Drosophila melanogaster: one gene and its partners. The protein of the gene in region 2 interacts with the protein of the main gene of each other region in a pairwise test. Each region holds a gene or a part of one and is shown on either strand. Other genes may lie near its edges. The genes, in order: C15, CG14451, fd59A and CG17002.

Region 1 (8,104 bases), on a different chromosome or scaffold from region 2:
ATCTTTACGTATATAGATCGAATCTTCTAGTGATCCTAATCAAAACTCACTGTGCTTAACAGGATCAGAAAGGTTTCTTTCTATTTGACTACATGAATCCAGGGCATTCGTTACGTTCAACATAGGATTTGCTTTCAAATCATTTTCAGAAATGTCTCTAACAACACTCCAACAGCCCCAAGAACAAAGAAAGAAACCACAGTTGCTGATTTTAGACGCTTTTAGGCAATCGTTTGAGCCAAATTACCAGAGACGTGGGGCGCCGTTCACTTCTCCCCGTTCGCCTTGAAATTGGCAAAATATTTTCCCCGCACACACACTACTACACCTACTTCAGGCCTCAAGTCTGATCAATTATTGATGCGTTAATTTATTGGTTGGCAAATTGTGTGGCCAATTGGCTAAAACAAAAACACACGCATTCAAGCCATTTTGGGCAGCCTGGCCTAATCGAAGTCAAGTGTGGACAGACGGATCGAGTTTCAAAAAACAATCACGACGGCCTTGCTCTGGAAAGGAACTTAAGTTCGATTTCACCAAGGATAGCACCCTTCCTTGCGTTGAGGGAAATCACCGAATGAACCAACCCACATATCGAGATACCGATAGCAGTGATGGCAAGGTAGTATTTAGTGAGGTACTGACAAAGTATGGATAGCTATTTGAGATGCGATTTAAAAAACCTTAAAGCTTGAAACTAGATATGTTTTTTAGGAGTTAGGGAAGGAAAGGTATTAGTCTATATTCCCTCCTTATTCATTAGCTAGTGGACCATCTCTACCCGTATATGGCGATGTCTTTGGTATTCATACAAAGTATTCCCGGGTATGTTTGCATTTTAGATTCGCATAAAGGTAAAACTGTCACCAATAATAGCCCAGCCCTGACCGCACATAAAATCCTTGCTGCGCCATCCTGAGAGAAAGTGAGACAGATGCCTGAAGTCAGAGAGGGAGCGCAAGAGATGGCTATAATCAGTATTGGCATTTTAAGTGACACTTGGTCTGCAGAGCTCGGCAACCCCCACAAGCCCCGCTGTCACACCAATCTGGATCACATCCCCCAACCCCAACGGCGAACCAAAGTCGCGCCGTGCTCCGCCATTTGTATATGAGCCAAATAAAAATGCATACCAAATGAGGTTGGCAGCACTGCCAGGATTTCGAACGGCAGGAGCGGTTGGAGCGACTCCTGGGGCGGTATTATTCGGAGGCACTTGCGCCAAACTTTGCTGCTGAATATTCCATGAAGTTGCCAATAAAGTCAAGTGGCAACGACTGAAGCTGTGGCTGCACCAGTTACAGTGCATACACTGAAAGAAGTTCGGGCATTTATTCCAACTAATTTGGTTTTACCTTCGGTAACAATTATAAAATTATATTTTTTCAGACATTGATTATTAGGAATATTCAGCTCTGAGAAGTTAAAACTCCAAAAGTACTGTAAAGATAACAATTAGATTCCAGAGGTTGGTTTTATCCTGTATCCTTACCCTATAAAGCTATGAGATTGGAGCTCCAAGGTTTTAGACCAAGCGGGTACGCCAAATCGGTGATCCTTTAGGTGGGTACTAAAAAAATATCCTACAACTAAATATAAGGATTTTCACAGAAAGTCGACAAGCAGTTAACTGATTTAAAGTTAATTGAATTTCACCAATAATCTGAAAGACACAACCTATTCTCCCAGTGATTGTGTAGATACACTTAGGCTAAGTTTGTTCTGGTTGTTGCTGTTTTGTCTGCCACCCGACTGCAGTGCGACGCTGCATACTAATTTTCCACAGCCCTGCCACCGCCCATCGCCCACCGTCATCTCGTTCTCATCTTGGAATCGGAACCACCACCACCAGCCTCTTAGCCATCTCCTCCTGCCCCTGCATGAATGCGATGTGGTGGTCTGAGCCTCATCATTTCGTATTCATACCAAGCACCAATTCCTCGTCGTTGCTGCCGCTGCAGTTATTGTTGTTGCCTGCTATTAAGTGAAATAAAAGTAAAAATGCAATAAAAATGTTGGCCGCCTCTCGTTTTGCATTAAAATTGCATTACAATTGCCGTGGATGGGGCGCTGTTGTTGCTATCTTTGTTGCTTTTATTACGGCAATTGTTTCTGCGTTGTTTCTGCCCAAATGAAATCCAATTAGCCGACTACAAGGCCTACCAACCAACGACTGCCAGCAGCAGCAGCAAAACAGCAACAATGACATTGCGAGGCGGTACGAAGAGAAATGGAGTTCGCCTCGTGACTTTTTCCAGAGTCCTTTCCACTGCCAAGTGGTGTGCGTGTGCTTTTGTGTGCCTTGCCAATTGAATATGCAGTAATTGCCTTTCTTCATTTTTGGCCATGATTTTTTGCTCGTGTCTGACACAGAAACATGGCCAGTTAAGTGCAGAAATGAATATTTATAGTCGTTACTTCTAGGATCGGACTCCGTTTAAATGCAAAGTGAACGGTTTGATTCTGCAGCCCACTCTCAAGAAAAATTGAATAATAATCAAATTATGAATAATGATATTATAAAGATAGGTAAAGATATGTAGATATAATTAACTAACATAATTTAACATTGAACAAAAAGCTGCATATGCAGCTTAAAACCAGTGATCAATATGTACATACATTGGCACTCTTTTAAATCACAGAATAGTATTTGTGAGGTACAATATAAGACCTTAAAGCAAATCATGTTTAAGAGTAACCAAACTGTGCAAGTAGAGATATAGTAACCCTTTATTATGAAATATAGATATAATTATCCTCTGACCAGTAGCGAATCTCCTAAGCGTAGTAATGCATTATCCAAGTTATCGCAAATAGGATTTGGGATTTTCATAACATTGCCTTATTCTGAAGGGGTTCACATTCCACATCTCGACTCAGCTATCTCAGCTAATGAAAACGGAGTACGCAATCGCTTCTGGCCACACACACGCATTCCATCCAGGCCGGCTAGAACAACACCTGAAACTGAGACTAAGACTAGGACCGAGATCCCGGCCAGCGATGAGCAGTAACATGGCTCGTGCCCAAGAAAAACTGTCAATTAACCCGTGGGGTGAACTTGTGGAAAATGCCAGAGCTGCTGCATCCACTGCATGCCGCGCAATTTGCATTCGCATGGCCGGGGCAAATGGATTGGATTCCTGTGGCTTCAGCTCGAGTCTGCTTATCGCAATCGCCGCCTGCCAAATGCCAGGCGATAGCGCGTAGAACTCTTGGCGCTAATAAAGATCTCAGTAGTAAGCGGTGTGAGGTGGTGAGGGGTGACATTAGGCGGTGGTGCAGGGCAGCCCTCCTGGCCAAATCCGCTGCTTTGTGAACTCAAGCTGACAGAACGCTATTTCCAATTGTGCTATTAATCTGCCACATTTGCACTTCCGCGGAAAAGAGTCGGCGGGCGGATGTGATCTCTTTCGCTCGTCAGTTGGCTGACTCGCTCTGCAGGGGTGATTTGCGGGCGAGCGAGTGAGACAGAGCGAGGCAGAGTGGTAACGCTTGGCTAACCTGAAAATAGAAACAATCGAAATAAAAATACATTCTCTTCATGCTCTCGTCTAATAAAAAACCCCAAAAGCAAAACGTTTTCCATTTAAAATGTCGTCGCAACTGCCAGCGGGAAGTGGACGTCGAGAGTGGCAAGTGTGTGGGGCAAACTCCGGCCAGCGGCCAATGGCGGTTGGCCGAGGCCACGCCCCGTGGCTCAATTACCGACCAGTGCTGCCCATCGGCGGGCAGAGCGAAACCTGTTTCCACGAGCGAGAGGCAGTCAGGCGCATGTGCGATCAGAGCGGGATGGATGGCTCAAGGGTGGACCAACCAGAAGAGGCAGGTTGCTGGTATTATGGTAGGTTAGGTTCAAACAAGGTGGCAAACTGGCTCTTAACCGAAATAGGAAGGAAGTCGGCAGCGGCGTCGACGTCGGGCAACTGGTTTGACTTGTTTCCGGCTCACTCCAACAGCCCAAACCCACCAGCAATCGGCAGAGGCAGCCAAGTCGGCAGAGGGCAGGCAGAGCAGCGGCCGTCGGCACAATTTGATTGCATTTATGAAAAGCGTTTTCGCCCGCTAGCACGCGTCCGCTCCCAGCTCGCAATTCGCCATCCGTAATCCGTAAACTTTAATCCGTAGACCGTAATCCGTGAATCCAAAGCAGTTCTCAGTTGGAATTTCCCGCAACGGGTAGTGCTTAAGCGCGGAAACTGAATTGAAATCAATCGGACGATTAGTGTGTGCTTCGCGGTTGAAACACTCTACATCTAACTATTAAGAGAAAAGAGTGCCCAATAAGATTCGAAAAGTGCAGTGAGCGAGCTCCAAATTGGCGCCACTAATTGCCAAAATGTCCAGCCACGAGGAGGATGACCATGAGCACGAGAACGAGCACGGCGAAGAGGTGGAGGAACAGGAGATCCACGTGGATGTGGACTCGGACTCGCGGATGTCATGTGGCAGCGGATCCGATGTGGATATGGACGGCGGCAGCTGCTACGACGAGTCCGAAACGCCATTGAGGTGAGAAGGAGAGCTTTTAAATAGAACCAGGAAGTAGGAAAAATGTCCCAAAAATATAGATATTATCAGTATAGATATACCATAAATAAGCAGATCTTCCAATTACAATAAGACTTCTACATATACATACATATATTATTTTTTTAACTAGATTGTGATAAAATGCTTTGGCTTCCGTACTACTTACTTAAAACTGAAGAGGCCTTTTTTTTTAAAATTCATTTTGGTAAATATTTTTCAAATATGAATAACGTCTGAATTTATGTACGTTGCAAAATCGAACAATAAAAAATATTTTTGGTTTAATTGTATCGTAAATAATCTGCTACACTAAACTTGAAAAGAGATTGCATCTCTATTAATAATAATAATGGCTTTACTTTCAAATTATACGATGTACAAACATAATAATTGGTCTGAAACAATTCATTACGGAAAATCCCCAAAAAAAATATATTAAAGAAAAAGCTCAGTTTTTCGTTTACTCTTGATGGTTATGATCATCATGCAAATTAATAAATATTTTTTTGTAAGTACTGGGCTTGATTTAGTTGGCCACATTATTCGTTAATTACTCATAAGTCAAAATTTAGATCGACAGCAATTTGATCGACTAACTGAGAGAAAAAGATCTATAAGCTATAGTTATAATAGTTGGCATACAGTCTTATTTTATTGCCCTATAAAAGTCAAACAAGTATTGTGGCGGAGAAAAGCTATTTGCATTTGTTATTACGAGCTCATAACTCCCACTGTTTTACGATCTTTAACATTGTCACTCATAATGCTCACAAATCCTATTTTTCGAATCGTGGCTCAACGCCATTGAAATGCGTTGATGTTTAAGCCCCATTGTCCGCTCTTACAAATGGTCCCATTTTCCAGCGACAAAAGGGGATAACAAGATGCCAGAGCATCCAGCAGACCGTGTTAACTGATCCCATTCAAGCGTTTGTGCGCTTAGAAGAACAGTGTGAACAAACCTCTTAAACGCTAATGAATTGACCACAAAGCCACCAAAAGAATCAAGTCGAAATGTCCCATAAAGTGCCAAAGAAACTCCCTGAATTTACATAGTTCACGGATGGCCAGGGTTTCCAATAGACGACGACGATAAAACGCACATTAGTAAGGCGCCAAAAACGGGCTGTGATAAGACATTGGGGTCCATTTGGGGCTCAATCTGGAGTTGGATCTTCGGCTTGAATGCCGGACAAAGACGAAATCGTTTGTCGGATTAACATTTTAATAGAGATCGTCATAAAAATGCCATAAAACCCGCGTTCCAGCGAATGTAGATCACCAGATAGCAGCAAGTTTTGGCCAGTGAAATAATATGTGTTTGCTCATAACTTTTGATATTGGAAAGTGTCTGTGTGTCGGTGGTTGGCGATTTGAGATCATTGTTCCGATACAATTCCATTCCTGTTCCAAATGGGTTTTTACTTTTTGGATTTATAAATTAAATGCCGTGCGTGACTTGTTTTCGGTGCGTCAGTTGATGGCATTTGATGATTTATGGGCGCGTATTAAATGCCTCTAACGGCCGTCAGCATTTGCATAATTACTTCATTTCCAGCCGCATTGCGTATACGCAGCGGTGGCCACACGGGTTCTGCATGTCATGTCGTCAACTCGGCTTATCCGCTCGCGTGGGCTTTTGGTTAGTGGTTCCGAGACTGGTACGCACTGCAACAGACTTAATTATAGTCAATGTTCTCAGGCTTTCCCGCTTATCGGGCGACACATTTTAATGAGCCCGCACCTCCAGAGGGCTTCTTTCCCTTCGATTCTGATGTCTTTTCTCCGGTTTTTATTCCCAGCGAGTCCCTGCAGTCGGAGCAGACGCGCTCCTCGTCCAGTGAGAATCTGCCCTTCAGCATATCACGCCTGCTATCCAAGCCCTTCGAGACGAGTCACCACCACCACAACAACAACAACCACCTGCTCAGCAGCAGTCCGGGCTCCAGCAGCAACAACAACAACAGCGGCGAAAAGGGCGAGGAGAAGGAGCTACTGCAGCAGGAGGACCACGACCTGGCCTATAAGCTGGCCACCAGCATCGCCAACTCGACATACGGAAGCGCCGCAGCACTATACTCGTATCCGCATCTCTATCCCTCAGCGGCCGGCGGTCATGTGCTACGTGTACCGCCCCAGAGAACGCCGCTCACCTGGGCACTACCGCCACTGCATCACGCGGCGCTGGCACATCAGGCGGTCAAGGATCGGTTGGCAGGTGAGTGAATAGCAGCGAAGTCAAGAGGGTTTGCCAAATCCAACCCATTCGGGGCCCCCATGTCGGGATGGCCCATGTTCGCCGAGATCTTTCGGGGGAGCGATCCTCCAATGACCCGCGGTGGCAATTGCTACTGTTCCCCAAATAAGCACGATCAGAGAAGACTTTTAAGGCAACATGCCTATCGGCATGTCATTGTTGGCCAACACATTCGTGCACCAAGAGAAAATGTGGCATTTGAAATAAAAGAATTGGTAACATTAAGAATAAAAATGTTATATATGTGCCTACATAACGCGTAGTTGGATGCATTCAATTGTGCAATAGGGTGTAGGAACATAATTTTAAACTTCTTGATAAAACATATTTTTGTATATTCATTGTTGAAAATAAGGTGCGAAGAACGTTGTCTAATGGTCTAAAAGGGCTTACTTACATATTTCCTTATAATATAATTACGATGGTCTATTAGATGGTATTTTCTGTGGGTAAGAAACAGCTTAAGGCTAGAACACAGGTCTCATAATACGAATTTTCGCTCAGTGTACACTCACTCTGGTGAGCTTGGGATGCTAAAGTATAAAAACATGTTTGCCTTCAAATGCGCAATCGCAGCTTAAGTTAAAAACTTAACGCTGAGCCGCCGCCCAGAAGCGACTCAGGAATGAGATGCGCCTTCTTATTTGCATGCGCATGCGCAGTTGAATTTGTATCTGTATCTGTCGCTGGTCCTCTGAATCCGTATCCGAATCTGTATCTGTATTCCATCTGAATCTGCAACTTCACGTGCAGCTGGGTCTTCTGGCTCCCTTTTTGTTAATTTGTTTACATTATGAGCTTCACTTGTAGCTACAAGCGATGGGCACAGCGCGAGCCCTTTGAAATAATGAGACGGCGTTGATTTTATTACGCCTCGGCAGCCGAGGGATCTTCAATGGTGTGGAAGGGGGATCCCGATAGGGTTCGGATCCTATAACTCATAATATTCGGGCCTTTTTCGGCCTTGTGATGTGGAAAAGCTGCTTAGGAGCAGCGCAGCCCGGCAATCTGACGGGCTTTTATGGCCGACATCCGCCCAGTGGTTCTGGTTAGCTGTTTGGCCTTTTTCTTCATTTTAGTTATTTTAATGAGCTGGTTTACATGACTTTTTAATTTCGCGCTGCGCTCGAAAAGGAATTAATTACGCATTGGGCGGTCGCTGGGCTCAGCGAGTGAGTTTTCTGTCCTCGCCGGCTTATTTATCGCCGCATACCGCACTTCACATTTGAGTCCAACTGACATGGTCAGCTTTTAATTAGCCAGTCGAATGCTGGCGATCCGAGGGCTGCATATCCATATCCATACTTGTGT
Region 2 (6,288 bases):
CGAGTCCGCCCACCCACAAAAGGCGATCAAGTCCATCTAGAGAACACATTAGGTCTCGGAAGCGATGCTACTCTAGGGACCGAAGAGAGCGGCGTAGCAGACTACCATCTAGGCGCAAACTTATCTCGAGGTCCCGGAGCCCAGATCACAGAAGTCGTTCGCGATATCGTTCTCTAGGCAAAGGGTCAAGACATGCGTCGCCCTGTGCTGGGAACCGTCACAGATCCCTCAGATCTCCAAGCGTTGAACGGAGGCTTGGGTCGCGGAATTCGCCAGTACGCCGTTCTCGGTATCGGTCAAGGAGCAACTCTAGGCTTATCAAACATGGGGTAGCACATCGCATAGAAAGTAGGGCTTACAGGGGGGATCGTTCGAGGAGCAGGTGCCGGTCAGCAAGAAAACCCCTCCGAAAGTGTTCTAGAAGCAAATCCAAATCTGTAAGAATCACACAGCAGGAGCTTTCAAGACGCGCATCCAAGGCGCGATCAAAGAGTAAACACAGGCCACTAAAGACCGTGGCTTGCCGACGTTCCAGAAGCCGATCCAACAGCCCCCATACTCGCCTTCGCAGAGTTTCAAAGAGTAGCTCCCAGCCCGCACACACCCAACAGCGGAATACCACCTCGCCACCTTTGGCCGCAATATCGCCACGCCCCATTTCTCCGATAGTTACACTTCACGATAATCGAACTAGTCATCCAAAGGAGATGATCCAGTACCTGCTTCCTACCCCAACTGTTCCTCAAATTTTCTACAGGCAGACGAACTACACCCATACGGAGTACAGTGCGCATGCCGGCAACGTTACCGGATTCTTCGGGCAGCCTTTTCCGGTGCTGGAGCCGTACGACGTGCGCCACCGCTTGTCCACCACGCGTTCACTCTATTACGTAGGGCCCAACGATCTGCGGCACCATATCCAGGGAATATACTCGCACCAACCCGCCTTTAATGCCTACACCGAGTGGCCCACGGGGTTAACTGAGGATAACCATCCTAGTGGTTACTACTGAAAGGCTCCCTATGGTTAAGAATAAACATCATTACTTGCAATACATTTACATCATAGTTGGGTGTTCATACTAAAGTCGGTCCAACGGCTCCTTCTTGTTTTCTCTCCTACCAAAATTCAAAACGAAGCGGTCGACTTGTAAGAACAGTGGATGAGCACGCTCTTGATCTTCCTGACAAGCTAATAGTACCTCAGCACTGTGCTGTGCACTGTTTGAAATATTTAAATAAAACATATTGCTGAATTTCATATTGAACGTGCGCCCAATGAATGTACCAAGTTTAGCGTGGTGCTATTTTTTGTAGTTAAGATAAAAACAAAAAAGAATGCTATAGTCGAGTTCCTCTGTCGAGGATTCGCTCAGCTAGTGTGAATTTTCAATAATCATTTTTCTGGGATATCGATAGATACTGGGGAATAAAATGAGAAAAAATTTGAAAATTGTTCCAAAGTGACGACGGCCTGACCGGTTTAGGTCGTGAGAGTGGGCGCGGCAAAAAGTTATTTGGCAAATCGATAGAAATTTACAAGACTTTTAAAATTATGAACAAATTTTCAAAAATGTAGACGAGGCCGTTGGGAGTTAGAGCGTGGCAACATGGGTCAACAAACTTGCGCTGCGTCTTTCTAGAATCTGTATGCTGAATTTCAACCATCCAGCTTTAATATGTAGTTCCTGAGATCTCGACGGGCAGACGAACGTGGCCAGATCGACTCGGCTATTGATCCAGATCAAGAATAAATATACTTTATATGTTCGGAAACGCTTCCTTCTGCCTGTTACATACTATTCAACGAATCCAGTATACCCTATTACCAAAGACACTAGAATAACAAGATGCGTAACGGCCATACATTGGTTTGGCACTATGCAGCCACTTTTTTGGTGACGGCCAAAATTGCTCTCTTTCTGCTCGCTCACGCTGAGAACATAAGAAATCTAAAAATAGAATTTGCTTGCTTGTGTGAGTAAAAACAAGAGACGAGAACGCGTATATGTGTGCGTGTTGTGCTAGAAGACGATTTTCGGGCCGAAATCAATTCTGATCAAAGAAATGAATTTACATTGTACATATTAGGGTAGTTTTTTGCCAATTTCGTAGCAATATGATGAAATAAAATAATTTTTAAAAATTCGCGCCCTTCTTATTATAATTTTAAAGCTGTTTAAATTTGTTTGTTAAAATCATACGTGCATACGAGCATACGTGTGCACACATAAAGTTGTCTGCTATCACTGTATGCGTAGAAAAGAGCGGTTCGCTGTAGCGCTCTTCGCTCTCTCGCTCTCTAACAAAAATTCGAGAGAGCCTGGAGCCACCTCTAGAGCCACGGCCAAAAAATTGTGTGCCAAAAAATCGTATGGCGTTACGCATCTTGTTATTCTAGTGTCTTTGCTATTACTCTACGAGTAAAGGGGATAACAAACCTTTAGTTCGTAACGATGGACATACAGCCAGCAATGAAACTGTTAGACAACACTAAGCTTAAGTGTTGAGCAGCAAATAACAACAATTTGGTTATATTTGGTCGTTACAAATAATGTCACTTTATTTCTAAATCAGAATCCTGGATTTGCTGAAGCACCGGCACCAGAGAGGCGAGTTCCGTGAGCAACAAAGGGTCCCGCACAAGCCCGTCGTCAATGCCGCGGACAAGCTGCTCCATTTCAAACAGAAAGCGCCAGTCTTCCGCCTGCAGGTACCTGGATTTACCGTGGGTCTCCTGACTAGACTTTCTGAAGATGAGACGGTCAGACTGAAAGCTTCGCTCGGTTCGTACACAACAGCGATGGGTGTCAACATATTCCTTGTTGCATTGCAGACACACCGTGTCCCTTATATCCTTCTGGTCCTCCGTCGGAGTATTTGGTGTTCCATGCTGGCAGCAGGTGAGGCGCCGTTGTAGGGCGCCCAGATGCGTGTAGCCTTTTTTGCACACATGCCTCCCCAAAGTGATGGCGGACTGACTATCCCTGATGGCTGGATGCCTCAGCCGACATCTGTGGGCCACCAGCGCTGACTTCAGTTGAAACTGCTTCTGGCAGTACTCGCACGTAAGGTGTCCTGTCATGTGCTTCTCCTGGTAGTGGCGGCGGAGCCTTCCAATTTGCCGAAAATTCTGTACTCCGGGTCCATGCTTGTGGAATCTGCAATCGCTGCGTGGACAGTGGAAGCAGTTGACCAACTGGTGATCCGGAACAGGTAACTTGTGGGTGCATACAATGTGGTTGTGGTAGCGGACAAGACTCTTGTACACCTTGCCACACCACTCGCAACAGAAGCCAAGCTCATCCACAAGGTCACCCACGGCAACGACGGTGCACCTCCTGTTCTCCATTTCCACGCTCTCCTATTTCCATAGTAAAACTTATCTGATATGGCGCCGAGCTATCGACAGTGTTGGGTAAATTTGTGCAAGGCCCTTATGGTAAATTGAAATATCTTAGGTATAGCCATTTGATTGGTAATGCCTCAATATTCTAAATTTTAGAGTGCATAATTGATCAATTTTTTAATTAAGCTATTCCTAATGACGTAGGACCAAATACATTAGAATAAAAAGATGCGTGACGGCCATACATTGACCATACAAACGAGAAATTGTATATGTGTGCGTACTTGTGCTAGAAGACGATTTTCGGCCCGAAATAAATTTTCATTCAAGAAAATTTACATACATATTCTACATATTTGGAGTTTTTGGCAATTTTTTTGCAAAATTTCAACAGGGCACTGTGAGCAATACTTTTTAAAGCATTAACATTAATTTCATCAATATTTCAACTTATAAATAAAGTTGCTATCTAGAACTATAATTATTAGTTTTGTAATTTAAAACATAAATTTAACAAAATGAGAAAATACATATTTAAAAATATATTTTGTAAAAATAATACAAACATACATAGTTAAAAGTTAATATTTATAAAATAAATAAAAATATGCGACCTTTCTATTGTAAAATGTGCACAGATGCACTTGTCGGTTGTCACTGGATGCGTAAAAACAGCTGATGGCTGTAGAGTTCTCCGCCCTCTTGCTCCTAAACAAAAATTAAGAGCAGAATACTTTATATCCACCTTCTACTTCCTGAATTCTAGACATTTCTTACTGAGAGACAGGCGGCCCAAGAGATCTTAATCTTAATTGCTTGTACCTTTTGAAAGAATCTAGTATAACTTTTACTGGACGAATTCTAGACTATTAAAAATGTGATGATATATCAACACATTTATTAAAAGTGCGATCGTGACAGTTTTATGCGGCTTGTGAGCGCTAGAGTGGGCTTGGCAAAATGGGTTAACAAACTTGCGCTGCATCTTTGTCTCTAAAATCTGTATGCTTAATCTTAACCTTCTACCTTTAATAGTTCCTGAGATCTCGGCGTTCATACGGACAGAAGGACACAGCCAGATCGACTCGGCTATTGATGCTGATCATGAATATATACATATAGTGACGTATTCGGGTGGTCCAAACCGGCCACTTCAATTAAAACAGTATTGCACTTAATTGATTTTCCATAATGTATCCCAGCTGCGCAGCATCCGTTTCTAATAAAGAATTCTTTGGCAGCGGCACTCAGCCGTTCTTGTAAACATCCTAAAACCTGACATAAGCCGATTTGACTGCTCTCTTTGAACCTTCTCCTTATCTTAAGAACCCAAGAGCGAGGCTCTCCCGAGATACAAATATTGTTCAAATAATGAGGGTTCTCTCAATTCAATTTGCATTTGATTTTTACTCTTAAAAAAACTAAAACGTTAAAACTATTTCTCCGATCATTTTTTATTTCTTAGCGTTGTCCTTAGTCAACTGACGGGGCATTTATTCGACTCAAATAAAAAATATAACAACTAATTTTACTATATATATGTATATATTTTACTGTATATCGGAAACGCTTCCTTCTGTCTTTTACATATGTACATTTCAACGAATCTAGTATACCCTTTTACTCTACGGTTAACGGGTATAATAAGTTCTTTCTAAATGATTATGCTTATCATTTTAACAACAACATTTTAACCAAAAACGGTGTGATGACCAAACCATTTTCATATTCAGCATGAATTTACCGATTCAGACAAATCGTTCATACATACAAACAATATTATTACTTTACCATTAAACAAACCATTTCCAAGAAAGAATTTTTCATAGACCTAAAGCACATCGACTTTGTGGGTGGATATACATACATATGTACAATTTTTCGACTCAACTGTTTACACTGTAGTTTTACGAAAGAGAATTTCGATTTAAAAAATTTTTAGTTTTCGATGGTCGACCATTTGATTTATAAATAAGCAGTATTATCTTTAATTAGGCTGCTTTTAACTGCAAGTGCAGTTTATTCATACGATTACAAAGCATGACGATAGATGATTATGCTATTAGGTTTGATTAAACCATTTTTATGAAATATAAATTATTATATTATAAATATAAATTAATTATAAATTTACAAACTCTTATTCCATTCCAGAATCGATAGTTCTGGAATGATACTAGTGCTCAGCAACGCCAAAACAGTCAATAATAGATATTTGAAGTGTCAGCGGAATCGACGTCTGACAAAACAACTGCTTCACTTCATTAGAATTGTGTGATATATTCCACAGACCAGATCATTGGAAGAGAAGTCAATCGTGCGTGAGAGAAGCCAGAAGAGAAGCCACCCGCGACATTCCGAAGTAACCATTTCTGTAGGGTCAGACGTACATACAAACAACATTCATATAAATTGCTCGTGCTGTTCATTGGTTACCGCCTTTAGTCGCTACCTCGCTCGCACACGCGCTCAACACCTACCCTTACCCGTCAAAAATACCGACCTTCTTCTTGCCACGCCCGTAAAGATGGCTCCTAAGAAGCATAGTGGGTTTATGATGTTCGTAAACGAGTGGAGAAACCGGAACGCCGAGGGCCGACGCATGACGCTGGCGCAGGCTGTTTCCCACTGCGGCACCATATGGGAGGTAAGTTTTGGTCGATGCTGCGGATCTACCCTGTAATAAATGAAGCCTTTTCAGAAAATGAACACCCAGCAGCGTGGTCCGTACAACTCAGGCGGCAAGGACGCAAATGTGGCGCAACGCGCCAAAAGGGAAAGTTCCAACGGCCACGGCCAGGTGGACAAGGCCCAAAGGGAGGCCACCGAGAGCTTGATGGACATGAAACGTACCATCGAGCGCCTCGTGCTAAACGCCAAGATGTCCCATGGTAAGTCACACATTTCGAAGACATTTGGATTCGACTAACTCCAATCGC
Region 3 (7,994 bases), on a different chromosome or scaffold from region 2:
GGTGTACTCCCCCGTCATGTTCCAGTCGGGATTCTTTATCGATATAACACCGGGACTGCCCTCCATAGTGAATATTTTGGTGTCTATCTTCGACTTCATGAAGCCCTACAGGCGCAAGAACAAGAACAAATCGAAGACAAAGACAGAGTTCGATTAATCTTAATTAATTCGGTGCGACCAAAGACCCCGAGTGACTCACCATGGCGAACCCCTTGACCGATGGTATCCACTGGTAGATGGAGTGGTTATTGAACAGCCATTTGAGGACGAATCCTTGCTCCCGCGGCCCGATCTCCACCTCGCAGTCGAGCACCAGAGGATCGGGTTCGTGGTCTCGGAACAGCGTGTAGGTGCGTGGCACCCGCAGGTTGGTGATGCGCACCGAGTGAGTGACTATGCGGCATGGGGGCGGAGTAGGAGGAGTACAGGATTAGTTTGGAGGAACCCAAAAAGGATGTATGCGAGAACTGCTCACCCGAGAGTAACGCGAGCACGGCCAGCAGCGTGGCGCGTAGGCCTCGTCCTCGCCAGCCCGCCATGACAGCCGACTAGTTTGCCTCAGCGTCGCTGGGCACTCCAGATCCTGTCGCTCGTGATCCTCCCGTTCCGCGAGGACGCGCCGTCGTTGTGCGTGGCAATGAATACTTCTGTGGTGGTTGGACGTTTCTACTTATCGCGGTGCTGTCTGTTTTCGGCTTGCGCTTTTATGTGGATACATGGGGGCCTTTGGTTGCACTCATTATCACCAATCTCATCACAGAAGCAGAATGGCAGGGGGATGCTTTTTTCTGGGGATACGGGCACTGACTGGCACAAACTTTTCTCGGCCCAACGAGCTCAGCACCTCGGACGCAGCAGCTCCTCGCAGGACATCTCCCACTGCAAGTCGCAACTATGGCAATCTCCTTTTATGGCCCGGGCCATTTAAAGTTTTGCCCACACAGGACAGGATACTTTTTGTTAGCGAAAAATCGACTTTTTGCAGCCCACATACACGAACATCTACGGCTGCGATAGTGTGTGCGTGCGGAATGGAGTCCGCGGGGGCGAACTGTGCCAAAAGTGGAGTTCGTACTCTCGGCGTAGCGCGTGAGTTCTGCTGGCGGATACCAATAGTTGGTGTTGGTATCTTCGGCGGCACACTGTTGTCCCGCTGCCAGGCGCAGCTTTTCATGTTTTAACACTGGAAGCCAACGGGACGCTCGTGGGAGAGCGGAGCTTTCGTTTGGTAGCGCCGAACTCCACGGCGTTCTATGGCGGCACAACTACGTCCTGCGCCAAATCAGCTGAGCGATGGTCACTGCGCAGGCGCTAAAGCTGAACTGATTTCCAGGCAGGGGTGCCACACCTGGACAGGTTTGCTGGGCGGTAAATTCAAATAACTCGGGGTGTTTTATTGCAAACAAAAGGTAACAAAACGTCGAAAAGAGGGATCCCTTTAAGGATATTATTACAAGGAAGAGAGTGGCCACATATAATAATATAATTATAAAAATAATACAATATTACAGGTATCAATAGGATTAAAAATTAATATTTAGTATACTACAAACATATTAGTAACATGCTGTAGTAGCTGTAGTAACAACACGTATATCGGTACCTACCAGTCAAACATGTATCCGTGTAAACTATTATTATGTTGTTGTTTATTCAATTTTCAATAACATCAGCAAAAATCTTAGTCTAATTTATAGTTAATAGTGTTCCTCTTGCTTGGATGTGTTACAGTTACACGCAGACGCACACGCACACACATACACATGATTAGTACTTGCATGGTAGATATAGGTCTAGAACCTGAAATCCCGACTCCAGACCCCAAGAATTCGTGTTAAAAGTATACTATAGACGTGCGATGCTTCAGATTTACATAGATATTACGCGCAGATATATGTTTAGTACGTAAGTGGACTGGCAACTATAGCGTTGACTTCGATTTGGTCGCATTTAAAAACTCGTGTGCTGGCTCCTACATCCTACGGATACACCTACTGATCACTACTTGCTGCTCGGATTGGATTCCTGGGGATTGCTGGTGGTGGTGTTAGTGGGCTGTTAAAACGTGCTTAGATCGAAACTGAAATCACCGTTCAATGGACTGTACACAAGCCAATTGGTTCAAGCGAGTGGGAATCCCGCCTAGTCGCTGGTCTCCTCCTGGCTGCCACCGCGATGCAGGTGGTGGCCAATCAGCGTCTCGATGCGAAAGTCCTTGGCGCTGCTCTGTTTGCTGGTCCGCAGAACCAGGGGCTCGCTATCGAAGCGTCTCCTTGGACTTGAATCGGACGCCTCGGCAGAAGCCTCAAAGATCAACGCTTCCGGCGGCGCATCCAGGCGATTTGTACAGGCGCTGTCCACCGAGTCCGAGATATGTGAGTCCTCCTGCTCATTGCCGCTCTCCACGTCGATCTTGTCCTCGCATGAGTCGTCATCTCCCTCGGCTTCCGCATCGGCCTCTGTGTCCGCATCGTCATTGTACACATTGAGATCCATGTAACCACCGCCGGCGGACAGTCGTTCTGCGTAATCCCTGTGGCCGGGAATGCCCGCAGCACTGGCCACAGTCGCCACATCGAAGGCGTATGGGCTTTTGTACTTGGAGCCACGGCTGCTCTCGGATCCCCCGCCCACTCCTCCGCCGGAGCCACTGCTGTGCGGTAGTGCATCCAGGACATCCGCTCCTCGACCGCGATTCATGAAGGGCAGCCGGTCGAACTTGTCCCCCGACTGACTTCCCTGGTAGAAGGATGCTTCGGCATTCGCAAAGAAGTTAAACTTCTTGTCCGCTCGCAGCGCTGAGTCAAAGACATCCGCCGGATTGTGGACCACGTCGAACTCCCTGCTCCCATTGAAGTTGGGCACGTTGAAATGCACTGGCACGAGGGGCACGGGCTTGCGTATCCAAAATGGAGACAGCGTGCCAAAGACCGCCGGAAACGAGAAGCGTTGCATGGTGGGCGCCCGTTTGTAGCGCTTCCGCCGGCGCAGGAAACTGCCGTTGTCGAACATGTCCTCCGCCAGCGGGTCCAGCGTCCAGAAGTTGCCCTTTCCGGGATTTCCCGGCTCGCGGGGCACCTTTATGAAGCAGTCGTTCAGGCTGAGATTGTGCCGGATGGAGTTCTGCCAGGCGGGGAATTTGTCCTTGTAGTATGGAAAGCTACAAGTAAAATGCACAAGTTATTTAACATTTTTTCGAGGAATTTTTTTTAAAGAATTTGGTTGTTTATCTAGATCACTTACATTGCAATCAGTAAATAAAATATCACATTTTAAAATTTATAATTTTTGAAATCGATTAAAGCACTGAATGTCTCTTCTTTTCTATGTTTTCAATTGAAATTTTATAGGATTTATTTATTTTTATCGTCTTTACAAACTACTACTTTTATTCTCTTTTTCTGATGTTTTAAGATAACTTGGAAAAAATCAAACTATTGCTTCTTCATTTAAGGATATTAACTTTGCTGGCAAACTCACCGCGACATGATGAAATCGCAGATCCCGCTGAGCGTGAGCTTCTTGTGCGGTGACTGAAGAATGGCCATGGTGATTAGAGCTATGTAGGAGTATGGTGGCTTTACCAGGGGACCACCCGAAGATCCCGAGCCGTCTCCGTTGCCGCCGGCGGCACCACTTCCGCCCATGGACGACGGCTCGATGTCGCTGTCGTCGCAGCCCATGGACATGGCATCTGCGGCGGCAGTGCGCGAGGACGCACTGCATCCGATTCCGTTGCCGATGGAGGAGCCGCCTCTGGAGCTTTTGATGAGCGGCGGCGAGAGGGAGACGCTGTCGTGCAATGTGTGCATGGGATCCGTGCTGGTGTGCATGTCTTAGCGGGTATACACTGTAGTCTATTTGAGTCCGCGAATTGGACTCACTAAATTTAGAGGACGCAACACTGTTATTTAACTATTTTGCTCAGGAACTGTGTTCGTTTTGGCGTTTCACTTGCTTCACTTGGCATTTGCATATGCTTTTCGATTCAACTTGGAATTTGATATTTTCTTTTCTATTTCCGCTTCCGTTAACCGTTCGCTGTTACCGTCGTTTCCGGTTTAGCTGCTAGGATAAACTGTACATATGGCCAGCAGTGGTGTGGAAAGTGGAAAGTTGGCTAGCGCCTAGTCCGTCGTCGCGTCCGTTGAAGGCGGAATCCGCTGGCCAAATGTTAACTGAATCGCAACGAAAACGAAAATCTTCTCGCCCAAAATGTTTTTCTACATAACTCAAACATTTATTTATGAAAAACCGCTGCCATTGCCGCTGCCGCTGACGTTTCCCTGAGCTTTTGTGTCGCCGTTGCTGTGTTTTCGTATCTCGAATAACTGTGATTCTACTGCCGACGTCGCCGTTGGCGCGGGCAGAGCATCCTGACGGCATCCTGGCAGCATCCTGGCTGCGCCCCGACAGCATCGCAGCAGAGGGAGAGAGAGCAAGAGAGCCCGGCCAAGCCTCTCTTTCTAGCGGGGGATGGGTTGATATCCTGCGAACCAATCTATGCGAACTAGCTCGTGCCATCCCTCTCCCACTCGCTGCAAGTCCTCACAAAATGGTGGAGAGCCCTGGCTGTAAATGCGATATTTGTGTTTTCCTCTCTCCAAGCGGCGGCAAATTGGCAGCGACTGCAGAAGCCAACGAACGCGGCGGTGGGGGGGATAAACATTTTGCGCAAATTTAGATACCTTTTGCCGCTTTGACGTCGTGGCTCTTAATAATGTTTCATTATGTCAGCCACATGGAGGCAGGCGTCCTTTTCCCCTGCGGCCCTCCCTCGTCCTCGCACTCGCCCTGCCAACCACCACTCTGCTCCTCTGCCCCAAATGTTATGCTTCAAATGTTGGCATTTTTATGTGCGAATGTTTTTCTAACCGTATGTCGACGTTTCTTGGTTTCTCTCGGGCTCGCAATCTCATTCCCAGCCCTCTGTCCCTATGCACAGAAAGAAAAAAAAGAAAAGAATCTAATTATGTGTTTAATTATGTAAAGTCCAAATTCCACAAATCTTACTTAAGTTAAGTAACGAAGTTATAGGGACTTTTCTTTGCAGTTAGATAAGTAGAATTGTATTTATTTTCATAGGATATATTTTGTTGGTTATTCTAAGAACGATTAACTGAAATATGTATATAATACAATGTATTATTATTAAATACATTTAAAAAAAAAAAAAATGCATAGAACAGTTATGTCATTTTAGCAATGCGAAAAAACCGAAATAAAATATAATTTTAAAACAATACATACAATATACAATACATCTAATATAGATAATATTGGTTTTTTTTCTGTATATTTTATTTGGGTGTGGAAGTGAGATGGAATCAAATGCACCATTTTCACCAACATCCTCCGAGCACAATGGGGGCTACTAGAGTGAGAGAGAGAGAGCAGTAGAGTGGGTGGGACGGGAGGGGGTTGGACGTACATGTGTTTGCTGCATTTGTACTTGTATCCAAGTGAGTTTTGTACTATTTCTCTTTTTCATTTTCGCTGTTTTTGTTCTCCAGTTGTTAGACATTGTTGTTGTAGCCATTGTTGTTGTTCGCCATTCAGTGTTTGGAGCCTTCCCTTTTCAAATTAAACATTCAGTAGTCACTTTTATTTGTTGTACTTTGTTCAAATTAGTTTTCCAGTTTTGCGGAAGTTACCCACACACAACCAAACACTCACTCACACACACAGATGCATGGAAACAGACACGAATACAATAAGGGCCGCCATCTTCGAATTCAGAACCATATTGATGTCGCTTCTTTCACTCTTGGCATCGTTTTCATTATTCTATTTTAGCTTTGCCACCCCCAAAATTCCCATTTGCCAATTCCCCCACGCCCGCCCACCTTTTACCCATTGTTACACTTACAAATCAATGATTTTTTGGCCAGATTTTTAGGGGCGTGGCATCGGCCATCGGTATGTATCTTTATCCCGCTTAGTAGTGTTGGTATTATCAGGGGGCATAAATAGAAGGGTGTATATACAATACTTACATGGGGTCGTTTCTGCTCTGCCTGCTCCCCAATTTCGAGGCGGAAAATTTATTGAGGCTTATCCTTGTCTTTTTATGAGCAAACAGAACATTTCATGGCAGCCAAATGAAATTGGTTGGACACAGAATGTAATCAAGTTTTTCGAAGCTAACGCTTAAACTATTTCGGAACTTTATAAACAGGTAAATCAAGCAAAAACGTACCCAATTACTGGAAAATGCTGGAAATCGAAAAGGAATATGTGTTTCAAACTATTGAGTATTAATTGCATGTGTACACTGTAATGACAACAATTGGTAATTAATTCCGACTAGAGTCAGCATTAATATATGTGTAACTGTATCGGTAGAATGGTTAACAACAATATAGCTCACCATGCATAGAGGATAATCTATCTATAGCTACCAGTCATCCTCAAAAACATTAGCCCACTTTATCCCCCGCGAGTTGCATCTAGTATATCGAAAATATTTGCCCTTTCAATCCACTTTTCATTACTTATCCGCCTGCTCAATAGTTTCCATGGCAATTAAACGATTCCAACAGCCACTATCCTGGGCCAATCCGTGGTCACAGCCGTATCCATGTTCCCTGTCAGACTACGGTTAATCGCCGCCTTAGCACGGCAGGAGTCCGGATGAAGGACGAAGGACTCGGGCGGCCAGTTGAGCGTAAGGATGCGGTGCATTAAAGCTTTCGCAGGGGAACAATTAACTTATGGCCAAACAATAACGCCGAGGAATGCACGCTGACAGGAACCAGCCACCAGGAGCACATCCTGCTCAGCCTCACCGCCAGCTCCATCTCCGGGCTATATATATCTACATGAATATCCTGCGTCCTCATCCCGCGCTGCAGCAACAGCGGCATGATCCAGCAATAATCCCTCTTTTGTCAGCAAATTTATTGCACACAAGCAAGCCGGCAAAGGATATGCCAAGCGGATGAAACGGAGCGCTCAGTGGGCAGGAGGGGTAAGGACTGCGGATACCGATTCGGGATTGGTCTCTGGCTTGGCTGAACCCAGACTTTGACAATACAAATCTTTATTGCGAAATCTGCAAAAGGCAAATAAAAGATTTGACACTTGAATTGCTTTGACTGCAAGGATTCGGCAAGGACAATCGCCACTTTTGGCTCAAACAAAGGACACAGTTGCTAGCCACCGACGATGGTCCGCCTTCATTATGCACTGGGAACAAAAAGAGGTCATAAGATATCTTCATTTGATATTCAAGTAAATCAAAATGGCTATGGCAGCATCTAATTATTATTTAATTATTATTTTGTTTATTAATATTATCATTATCTGTATATATCGAAATATTTCAGCACCTGTACGACATTTCCAACAACTACTAATTTAAGAAAGTGGTTATGTCCTTCGACAAGTGTACATCTTACGAAGGGGATCCCCTCTAATTTGCGCTTGAGATGGCGCATCCTGTCGCATCCTGCATCGGTGGACGGCATCTGAGGGTCGGTGGCACCTGCTGGATCGCAAAGGCAAACACTTGAGGCCGCGTAAGAAGTTCGAGAATGGCGAGGGATGGCAGGTTTAATAGCTTCACTTCTTATGTGATTATTAAATCTTTGAAGTATCTGAAGGCGCAGAAAACAAGTCAGGCTGGGGCTCTGGTCGTGGGAGATACACATACAGGCACTTGAATACTTAAGTGACGCTCAATTTGATGGACAAGGACGTCGAGAATCAGCGGGCAAGCCACCCCAGGATTGCCCAGGACAATGGGAAAAATCACAGCAGGCAGCGAGCAAATTGCACAACTGCAGCCGCAAATTCTGTTTCGGGATCTCCGTTCTCCAACCTGCCAACAAGTGGCAAGCACAACAATGGATTCGATTTAACCATCCTCACTGCCCCGCATCCGGATCGCAATCCTCCGGACGAGCTGGAATATTTCACGCTCGATTTATCCCGGCTTTTTTTTGTACCAGAGGGTTGGGACAAACAGCAAGTGCCACACACCAATGTTTCGT
Region 4 (8,117 bases), on a different chromosome or scaffold from region 2:
CAGACCTACAGTATTGAGATATTAATACAATGAAATTCGTCATAAAAGTGGTTGAATGAATCCGTTTTCATAAATCGCAAGAGTAGTAGTTACTTTAGCAAATATTTTCTATATATACAGCTGTGTTCATAAAAATAGCAGTGCTTTGGACCTGAGAGTTTAAGATCAAAAATTCCTAGGATTTACAGTTTTAATGGGATTTTTTTTTTTTATAATATCATTAGGTATTTAATTTTAAACAATTTAACAAATGTTTCACTTTTATTTCTTCAATAGTTTCGAAAATATAGATTAAAACAACAAAATAGGTAGAAACTCTGGTTTTCAATGTAAATATTGAAAAAAACAGTAACAAAATTCAACTTGACCTAGAACTAACTTAGTTTTTCTTTTTAATACGTTAATTCGGGCCTAATACTTGGCTGGATAGCCTTTGTTAGCCAGCACAGCCTTACACCCACGCAGCATGGAGTCCACCAGGTCCTGGCATCATTTGGGGGAATTTTTGCCCATACATCCTGCACAACTTTCCAAATCTAAGCCTTAGACGTCGGGGAGTTCTTCGACACATTTTGTTTAATTTCCCCCCACAGGTTTTCAATCGGGTTTAAATCGTAAGGTGGTGCTGGCCACGGCATTGCATCTATTCCATTTTTGGGTGAACCTATTCTTTGCCGATTTGCTTCTGCATTTCGGATCATTATCCTGGTGGAATGTCCATTTTAAGGGCATATTATATTCAGAATATTACAGTAAGACATCAATGAGTATATTTACATATGCTATTTGGTCTATAATACCATAAATCATATGTTATGGACTCATACCATTGTAAAAAAAAAAACAAGCATATACCACAATTTTAGGTTCACCGTGGTTGAAAGTCTTCAGTGGGTGTTTTGGGTGGTATTCCGTGTTTGGAGGTCGTCAGATATACTGTAGTGAACCCGTTCCACCAAATTGCACGATTTTTGACCCATCAGTCCAAAGGATATTACGCCATTTGAAGACTGGCCAGTTTAGGTAGGTTTTAGCGAAGCTTAACCTTGCCTAAATATGCCTTGGGCTAAGTAGGGGAACCTTTCGTGAACTCCTCGCACTGAAATTTTGATTTAGTAGTCGTCTTCGAATAGTATCGTCCCTGATTCCCAAGTTGAGCTCAGACTTTATGTCCCTAAAGGATGCAAAAGGATAGACTTTGCTGTAAGAAACAATGCGTCGATGCTATATATCTGTGGTTATATCTATGGAACCACGGTTTTCGGGCTTCCATTCATATTTAATGACATTGGATACCATTTTGGCAGAACATTCAAGGGTTTTTTGAATGTTCATATATGTTTTTACTTCCTTTCTAAGCTTAATAATTAACATTCTTTTCTCCTGGGAGCAGTGCTGTCCTTTACCCACTAATATATAATTTTTTTCATTTACTCCCCTTTTAAATGTACGAATTAATCAAACTCACTTTTTAAAAATATTGATCATTTCCTGACTTTACGTTGGTCAAAACCAGACACTGCTATTCTTATGAACAGCCTAAAAGTTGTGATTTCGCTTAAGAAAGTAAATAAAAAAAGGATAACATGAAAAACTAACCGGATTTTCTTTTTTTCCCTATATACACATTCCATTTAACAAAAATAAGTGGAATAAAAAGTCAATTCCGAAAAGGGACATGGAAAAATACCTTTGTATTAATTAGTATTCCTCGCACTGCTATTTTTCTGAACACAGCTGTACATACCATTTTATATAATAGTCATTTTTTATATGTATACATGATCCAATTTCTATTGCCCAGAATTTCAAAAACTCTTTCGAGTTAGATCAATTTGCCTGTTGGTGATTAGAACTACGATACCTCAAAGTTATTATGGTATAACCACAGAACCACAGAAGCCCATTGATACCAAATATCAAATCAATATCAAATATCAGTATGGTATTGTCGATTGGAAAATAGGGACGCCATAGTTGTGTGCTTTATTTCGTTTATCCGACTTCACGTGGGAAGCGTAGTCAGTGTTGTAATGTCTATTTAAAATCGTAAGTATATCAGTTAGCGAGTTCCGTAGCGACAAAAGGGGTTAGGGGTTAGAGGCTAGTACAATCGCCGCGTGTAATGCATCTGCTGACCAGGAGGCGGCTGGGCGGAGCCGGATCCGGACGGTGCTCCCGGCTGGCCAGGCAGCATCGCCAGCTGTTGCCGAGCCAACTGCTGCTCGTGGGCGGATCCACCTCGTCCAGGGGCATAGCCCTGTGTGATGCTTCCCGCTGTTTTCGGATTCTGTGGAGGAAACTGGCCAGGCGTTAGTCAAGTGAATATTTAGTTCTTCCTTGTAAATGATATCAAACATGTTAATCAGTAGTTGGGAAGTTGGTTCTAATGCGTTTTCCTATGAAAACATGAAAACCTGCAACAATGAATTTGTTTTATAGAAAACAGCTCTTATTCAAGATGCTCAGGCTTTAAAAACCATTTTCGCAGAGCCTAATCGTTGAACTTCGATTTCGAAGATGTAAATCTAACTTGTTTGTTCTAAGTTGTAAATTCTAAGACACTGCCACGGCTAATTAACCACAAATGTTGAGAATGAGACCCACCTGGCTGCTGCTTATCTGCAGCACGTTGCTGTGCAATGAGAGTTCGTTGAGCAGCGGCTTGAAGATGACGCCCTCCGGCAGCAGGTGTGGCGGAGGCGGGACGTGGCTCGGCGGCTGGCCGTCGTGCTTCACCTCGATGTGGTAGCGGTCCGGTAGCTTCTCCATAGTCACGTGTGGCTGGGAGGCCTTTACCGAGAGGCTGCCGCCGGCTTGAGCCACCAGGTCTGCCTGCGAAATGGTCGGCTGGTCGAGGTTGATGTGAAGCACTTGCATGGGCTGCGACTGCGACGGTGCCTTGGGCGACTGCGAGTCGGGCGGCTTGCTGACCGTGGCGCTGGGCAGGTCCACGTGGTAGGCCTGGCGCAACGGAAGGTTGTAGTTGTAGATGGACTGCAAGCGGGCGTCCGCCTGGTGCTGTGTCGTCGGCGGAGGAGCGACCGTCTGGTAGAAGACCGTTCCCGTGCCCGGATACTGTGCCGCTGTTTCTGGAAGAGAGGAAAAGTGAGGTTTAATTGACGAATCTGGCGATCGTTCCGACGGAGGATCTCGGGCTTGGTATTGCAAGTGAGGTGCTTACTGTTCCATGATAATCTAGCATAGTCAGCGGCACGACGGTAGTCATCGTGTTCTGCGAATCGATCGTAAACAAATAACGAAATGAACATAAGTTGTGTGCCTGTGTTGTTAGAGGTTAGTGTGCGCAGTGAAATGGATTTCTCATGAACGGGACGGAGTGTTAGCGAGCAGTTAATCAAGAAGAACAGCGAAAGCTCCGCAGAACAGATCAATCGGTGATTGTATCGCACCTTTAGCCAATGCCAATTTGCAGTTGAATTTTAAAACTCGAGCTATCTGCTAGAAACCCTATATATATCGTTTCTACACTATATATCCTTCAAAATAATAGGGTAATTTTTGTGCACATTAAAACACATTAAACTAAACCATCCAATACAAAGCCTAAACAGCACGAAACTTTCTTTATATCGAATTGATTATTTACTTAACACTTAACCATGTTTTTGCAATCATTCCTAATTAGAAGTTCAATTGATATTAGTGCTAATATTTCATAGAGCTTAAAAAAGGGCTTGGCAATCAGAATGTAGAGATGATGACATCACAAAAATCACGTATATCTCTCGTCCAAATCAAGAACCATACATATGTGCTAACCAATTCAATGACTAATCAAATTATGAGCAGATCCCGCATTCGAGTTAACAAAATCCAACCGAAATTGCGTGCATGAGACTTTGGACTGCCTGCCTGAGGCAGCGTTCACTGTATCGGAGGCCCAGGGACCACATTGTCGACCTCTTCCTGGCTTACTCTGCTGGGCGTAGCTGGCGGCGCTCTTGTAGTAAGCCTGCTGCTGACTCGGCGGCGATGGACTCCTGCCACGTTTTCCTGGCTGTCCGCCGGACGGGAGCTGCGAGGAAAAAAGAGGACCATTAGAACCTGAATCCCACAATTGCGCAGTCGAGACCTTCTGCATCAGCGTATGGTGCTGGTGTTGGAGGCGCAGGGGCGGCAGGAAGACCGGGCTACTGGCCGCCGCCTGCTGGATGGCGAACAGTTCGTTCTCCTTGGCCAGCTTCTTGCGCGTTTCGTCCTCGTTGAGCACCTTCTTGAGTTGGACGGTCAGCTGATGCTTCTGGCTGTGCAGATCGGCCAGCTGCTCGTCCAGTCGGGTTATCTGGCCGCGTGTGTCATCCAGGGCCACCTGGTTCTGGCGCTCCACCTCCTCGCGCTCCCGTCGCAGCCGCTGCTCCTCGCACTGAGCCTCGAACTCCTCCTGGCGCCGCTGGCGGTCCGCCACGATGAAGCCCTTCAGTGCCCCGCGCAGCTTCTCCGCCCGCTCGGCCTTCGCCGCCTGGGCGGCCGCGTTGCTGTTGTTTACCGCTGATGCTGGCGGCATCTTTGTGCTCTGCTTAGTTATCTTGCCAATTTTATAAGCGTTCGTGGACGACCGGGCAATCGCGACTGTTTGACCGAACCGACCGAGAGGCTCCCCAAATGGAATGGCGTGCTGGTGGCGGTGGGCTGGAATCCGGGTGGACACCGCTACGGGAATCAATGGTTGGGCGTCTTGGGATCACTGCAAATGCTCGACGCCGGGCTGCACTTTATTTTCGTTCACTTTCAGCACGGTTTTTTGTGGTAAACAATTTGTTGAGTGAGTGGGATGTGCCGACCAGTGTTGCCACCAATCGATTAATGGGCAAAGCTAGCTAGAAAATAGCTACTTTCCGATTGTGGTGGCAAATCTTAAGTTAACGTTCGAACTAAATCACTTATAAAGAATTCGATTTTTTCTTTAAAGCTTATATTCCTAATATTACTAGTCACACCCCAGAATTTAATATAAAATACAAATAGTTTCAACACTGATCGATACTTATCGATAACTTTTTGGAAACAGATTATAGTTTTTGGAAAATCCAAGCATTAAAGTCTAGACATTCTAGAAATGTCTATCGATGTTAATAAAATGCGTAAGCATCGATATGGCATCTCTCATTGGAGGTATCGTGCAGCTCGAGCTCTGCGGTCACACTAGAATTGCAGTTGTTGGTGTGAACGTCTGAACGCGATTCGGAAAATACGGATTACACGGATAATACGAATTATACGGATATTGCGGAAGTTGAACGGAGACGCGACTGAAAGAAAGCCGTGAAATGTGTTCAGTTGCGCGCAGCAGTCATTAGCCTATCAGCAGTGTTTGTTACAAGCTAACAGTGATACAACGTGCCTGGAATCGCAACCAACGCAGAGCAAGAAAAGCAGAAAAGCATAAAAACGGAAGAAGCAGCAGCGGAATAATCAACAAAGGCGGCAAACATGGCGAGTGAGTAACATCGAGCATTTCTCTGCCTATGGAGCATCCCAAACGACATACAGCAGACCCCGGATTCCTTTTCCATAGCATAAACAAACGCAATTCATGCGAGTCATTGCAGCGGCCGTTTTATGGCTGCAGTGCAGCATTTACGAGCTGCGAAAACTTCCAAATCGCTGCCAGGTGTCGGAGGAAGTTGCTCCGAGCAGGGGCAGTGGGGTGGGGGCGGGCGATGCGGCTCCCTAGACAAGATGTGTGTGTTTGCCGGGGACATGTGAGAAAAATCAATACTTATGCTCCCCACTCCCCATCCCACTGCACAGTGGGCCGGTCGGATTAGGCAGATGCCGTGCTCCTGCTGCTGTGCGCACCCACTTATCGCGGCCAACAGGGTCAGCGCTTCCCAATCAGAAATCCCGCTCTTTTATCCTTTAATGGCCCCGGCAGTTCTGGCGGGAATTAAGTGCGGCTGAGACAGCGGCCACCACCGTTTTGCACGAACCCGCCACCCGAGCCGCCCACTCCACCGCAGCACAGGAGGAATAGGAATGGGAACTGGGAACAGCAGTGACGACGCATTAATAAATGAGAATATGCCTCCTGCGAGGTGCCAGGTTTACCGGCGTGTCGCAACACTCCCCGCAGTCCTCACAATTCGTTTTATCCCCACGGGGGGTGATATAGCAAACAAAACGATGAAGTCATGCACAGTGAGAAATCTATGGCAACTTTGTTGAATTGTTGATAAACATTACAATTAGGACAATCTTCACAGATTAAGCTTAAAAGGGCTTAAAATTCGATACTACTTTGCAGTCAAAGCGCAGTCATTGTCAAGATAAAGCTGTGACTAACTAAAAGAAACCCCTTTTTTTCTTGTGTTTCTCAGTGTAGTTGGATGTGTAACGTACGCACTGGATGTGTTATATTTGGGTCAGTCACCGATGAGAATTGTTAAACGTAAACAAGTCTCTAAACTTCTTAGTTTTCAAACGTGACTGCACCGAATCAACACATACATAAACACTGGCCACAGACTGTACTGTTTGTATACCCTTTCCCGAGGGGAACCTGTGCAGAACGACAACAAACAGCACTTGAACGCGCCGGCAATCCCGGCCTCGAAACTTCCCCTTTTTCAGGAGGGGTGCTGCATCCCAATCCCCACACCACTGTACACCTCACTTGTCTACAGAACCCACCAGCTGCGCCCAGCGTAGCGAGACCCATTTCCACACTGAAAACAATTCGTGGTTCTTGTTCATTTTAATTCATATGCAAGCACTGGGAAACTTGCGCTGAATATATGATTTTCAAGACCTGTCATTCGGAGCATTCATTAAGTGTTACATAAGTTTTATACCTGAAGTATAGTACATTGAAATACTATTCGACATTACTATAGATTGTTTTGAAATCTAATGAAAGGACATCTATAAAATTCAAGGATGCAGGCCATTGGACCGTTGCGGCATGATTTACTCGCTGTGCAGATCCCAGCTGCGAGATGCTTGCCACGTCCTCCCTGCGGCTCAGTCACTTTGGACTTTAATTGGTCCTTTGTGACTGCATTTGTCGACGCTTTCGCTCGGCGTCTTCGACGCAATTTGACTGCTGTCCTTGAGGCTGTGGCTACCATCAACCCCGAGGCTGGGAGTCTGATAAGGAAGAGGATATCAGCTGCCAAAGCAGGCCGCTCCCCTCGCCAGATTCCAGATTCTAGATTCCGGAGCTGCTGCCTCTTTATTGTTATTGTTATTATTTTGGGCTTTTCCATTCGTTCCACGCAGCTTACCCAGATTAGCTGGCTGTTATTGTAGTTTGCCCGGCTTCGAATTTATTGTCCTTTTCCACCTCCTTCTTGCGTATTCCGGCGTCGTTGCTTCATTTGCTTCAAATCTAGCTGGGTGACTTGTGATTTCCCCGTGCCTAGCGCCTTCCACTCGCTTTATTCTTTTAACTGCTAATAAGATTTTGGCCCTTCTAATGGCCTTGAGAATGAATGGGGCGAGCAGGCCGCCTTGAAAAGATGAAATTGTGGGGTGGTTGGTGGCTAGCTCTGTTTTAATTGAGTTCGTGCCCTATTCAAATTGGCATAGAAATTAATTTCAATTAACTTTCGAGTCTTTTCGAGGAGGCTATGTGTGTCCCCTTGACAAGTTGTGGAGCATACTTTACGGGGCCAAAAGAGGGTTGGCATTTTGGGGAATCCCCCATCGACAGAACGTTCTAACTTGTGTGCTTCAAGTGTGCAACTTGTGTGCAAACTTTTAGTTTTTTCCGCTCTAAACTAAGCAACTTGTACAACTTGTGTCAACTTTTAAGTTGGTAAATTCGTTGGTATTTACACGAGTACTGCATGATTTAAATGTTCAATAAGCTGGCTGGTATGTAAAAAACGGATTCAAGTTGTCTTTTCTCAAGTGTTCATTGTGTTGACATACAAAATGTTGACTGGCGAAAGTCAATTTGTATTTAAGTTTGCAGCTACATATACATATACAGTCAACTTAGTTCGAAACTATTTCGGCTACCTCTAATATACATACAAAAGCACTTTGTTAAATTCACCAACTCGGTGGATTGTCCCAGAACAACAAACCAAAATTTAAAATTTGCAAACGAACAGAGAAAAACGAATCCTTTTTTGTCTTCTCACGCTGCT

Evidence for each region.
Region 1: the proteins of CG14451 (region 2) and C15 interact in a two-hybrid assay, tested with the Drosophila melanogaster proteins (one large-scale study listed by BioGRID).
Region 3: the proteins of CG14451 (region 2) and fd59A interact in a two-hybrid assay, tested with the Drosophila melanogaster proteins (one large-scale study listed by BioGRID).
Region 4: the proteins of CG14451 (region 2) and CG17002 interact in a two-hybrid assay, tested with the Drosophila melanogaster proteins (one large-scale study listed by BioGRID).

Annotation. Positions count from the first base shown.
Region 1 is NT_033777.3:21,495,916-21,504,019, forward strand, and holds the start of C15 (C15), read left to right. Parts: upstream 1-4,070; 5' UTR 4,071-4,342; coding exon 4,343-4,515; intron 4,516-6,338; coding exon 6,339-6,754; intron 6,755-8,104.
Region 2 is NT_037436.4:22,718,690-22,724,977, forward strand, and holds CG14451 (uncharacterized protein), read right to left. Parts: upstream 3,403-6,288; 5' UTR 3,353-3,402; coding exon 2,558-3,352; 3' UTR 2,541-2,557; downstream 1-2,540. Other genes in the region: CG32452 (uncharacterized protein), read left to right, coding at 1-1,013; mael (maelstrom), read left to right, coding at 5,877-5,996, 6,042-6,240.
Region 3 is NT_033778.4:22,864,341-22,872,334, reverse strand, and holds fd59A (forkhead domain 59A), read right to left. Parts: upstream 4,177-7,994; 5' UTR 3,834-4,176; coding exon 3,481-3,833; intron 3,161-3,480; coding exon 2,143-3,160; 3' UTR 1,629-2,142; downstream 1-1,628. Other genes in the region: CG13532 (uncharacterized protein), read right to left, coding at 1-105, 200-393, 476-539. UniProt on the Drosophila melanogaster protein: Involved in development during embryogenesis.
Region 4 is NT_033778.4:6,982,756-6,990,872, reverse strand, and holds CG17002 (uncharacterized protein), read right to left. Parts: upstream 4,831-8,117; 5' UTR 4,529-4,830; coding exon 4,097-4,528; intron 4,040-4,096; coding exon 3,940-4,039; intron 3,236-3,939; coding exon 3,185-3,235; intron 3,093-3,184; coding exon 2,608-3,092; intron 2,303-2,607; coding exon 2,105-2,302; 3' UTR 1,951-2,104; downstream 1-1,950. Other genes in the region: vimar (visceral mesodermal armadillo-repeats), read left to right, coding at 5,455-5,461.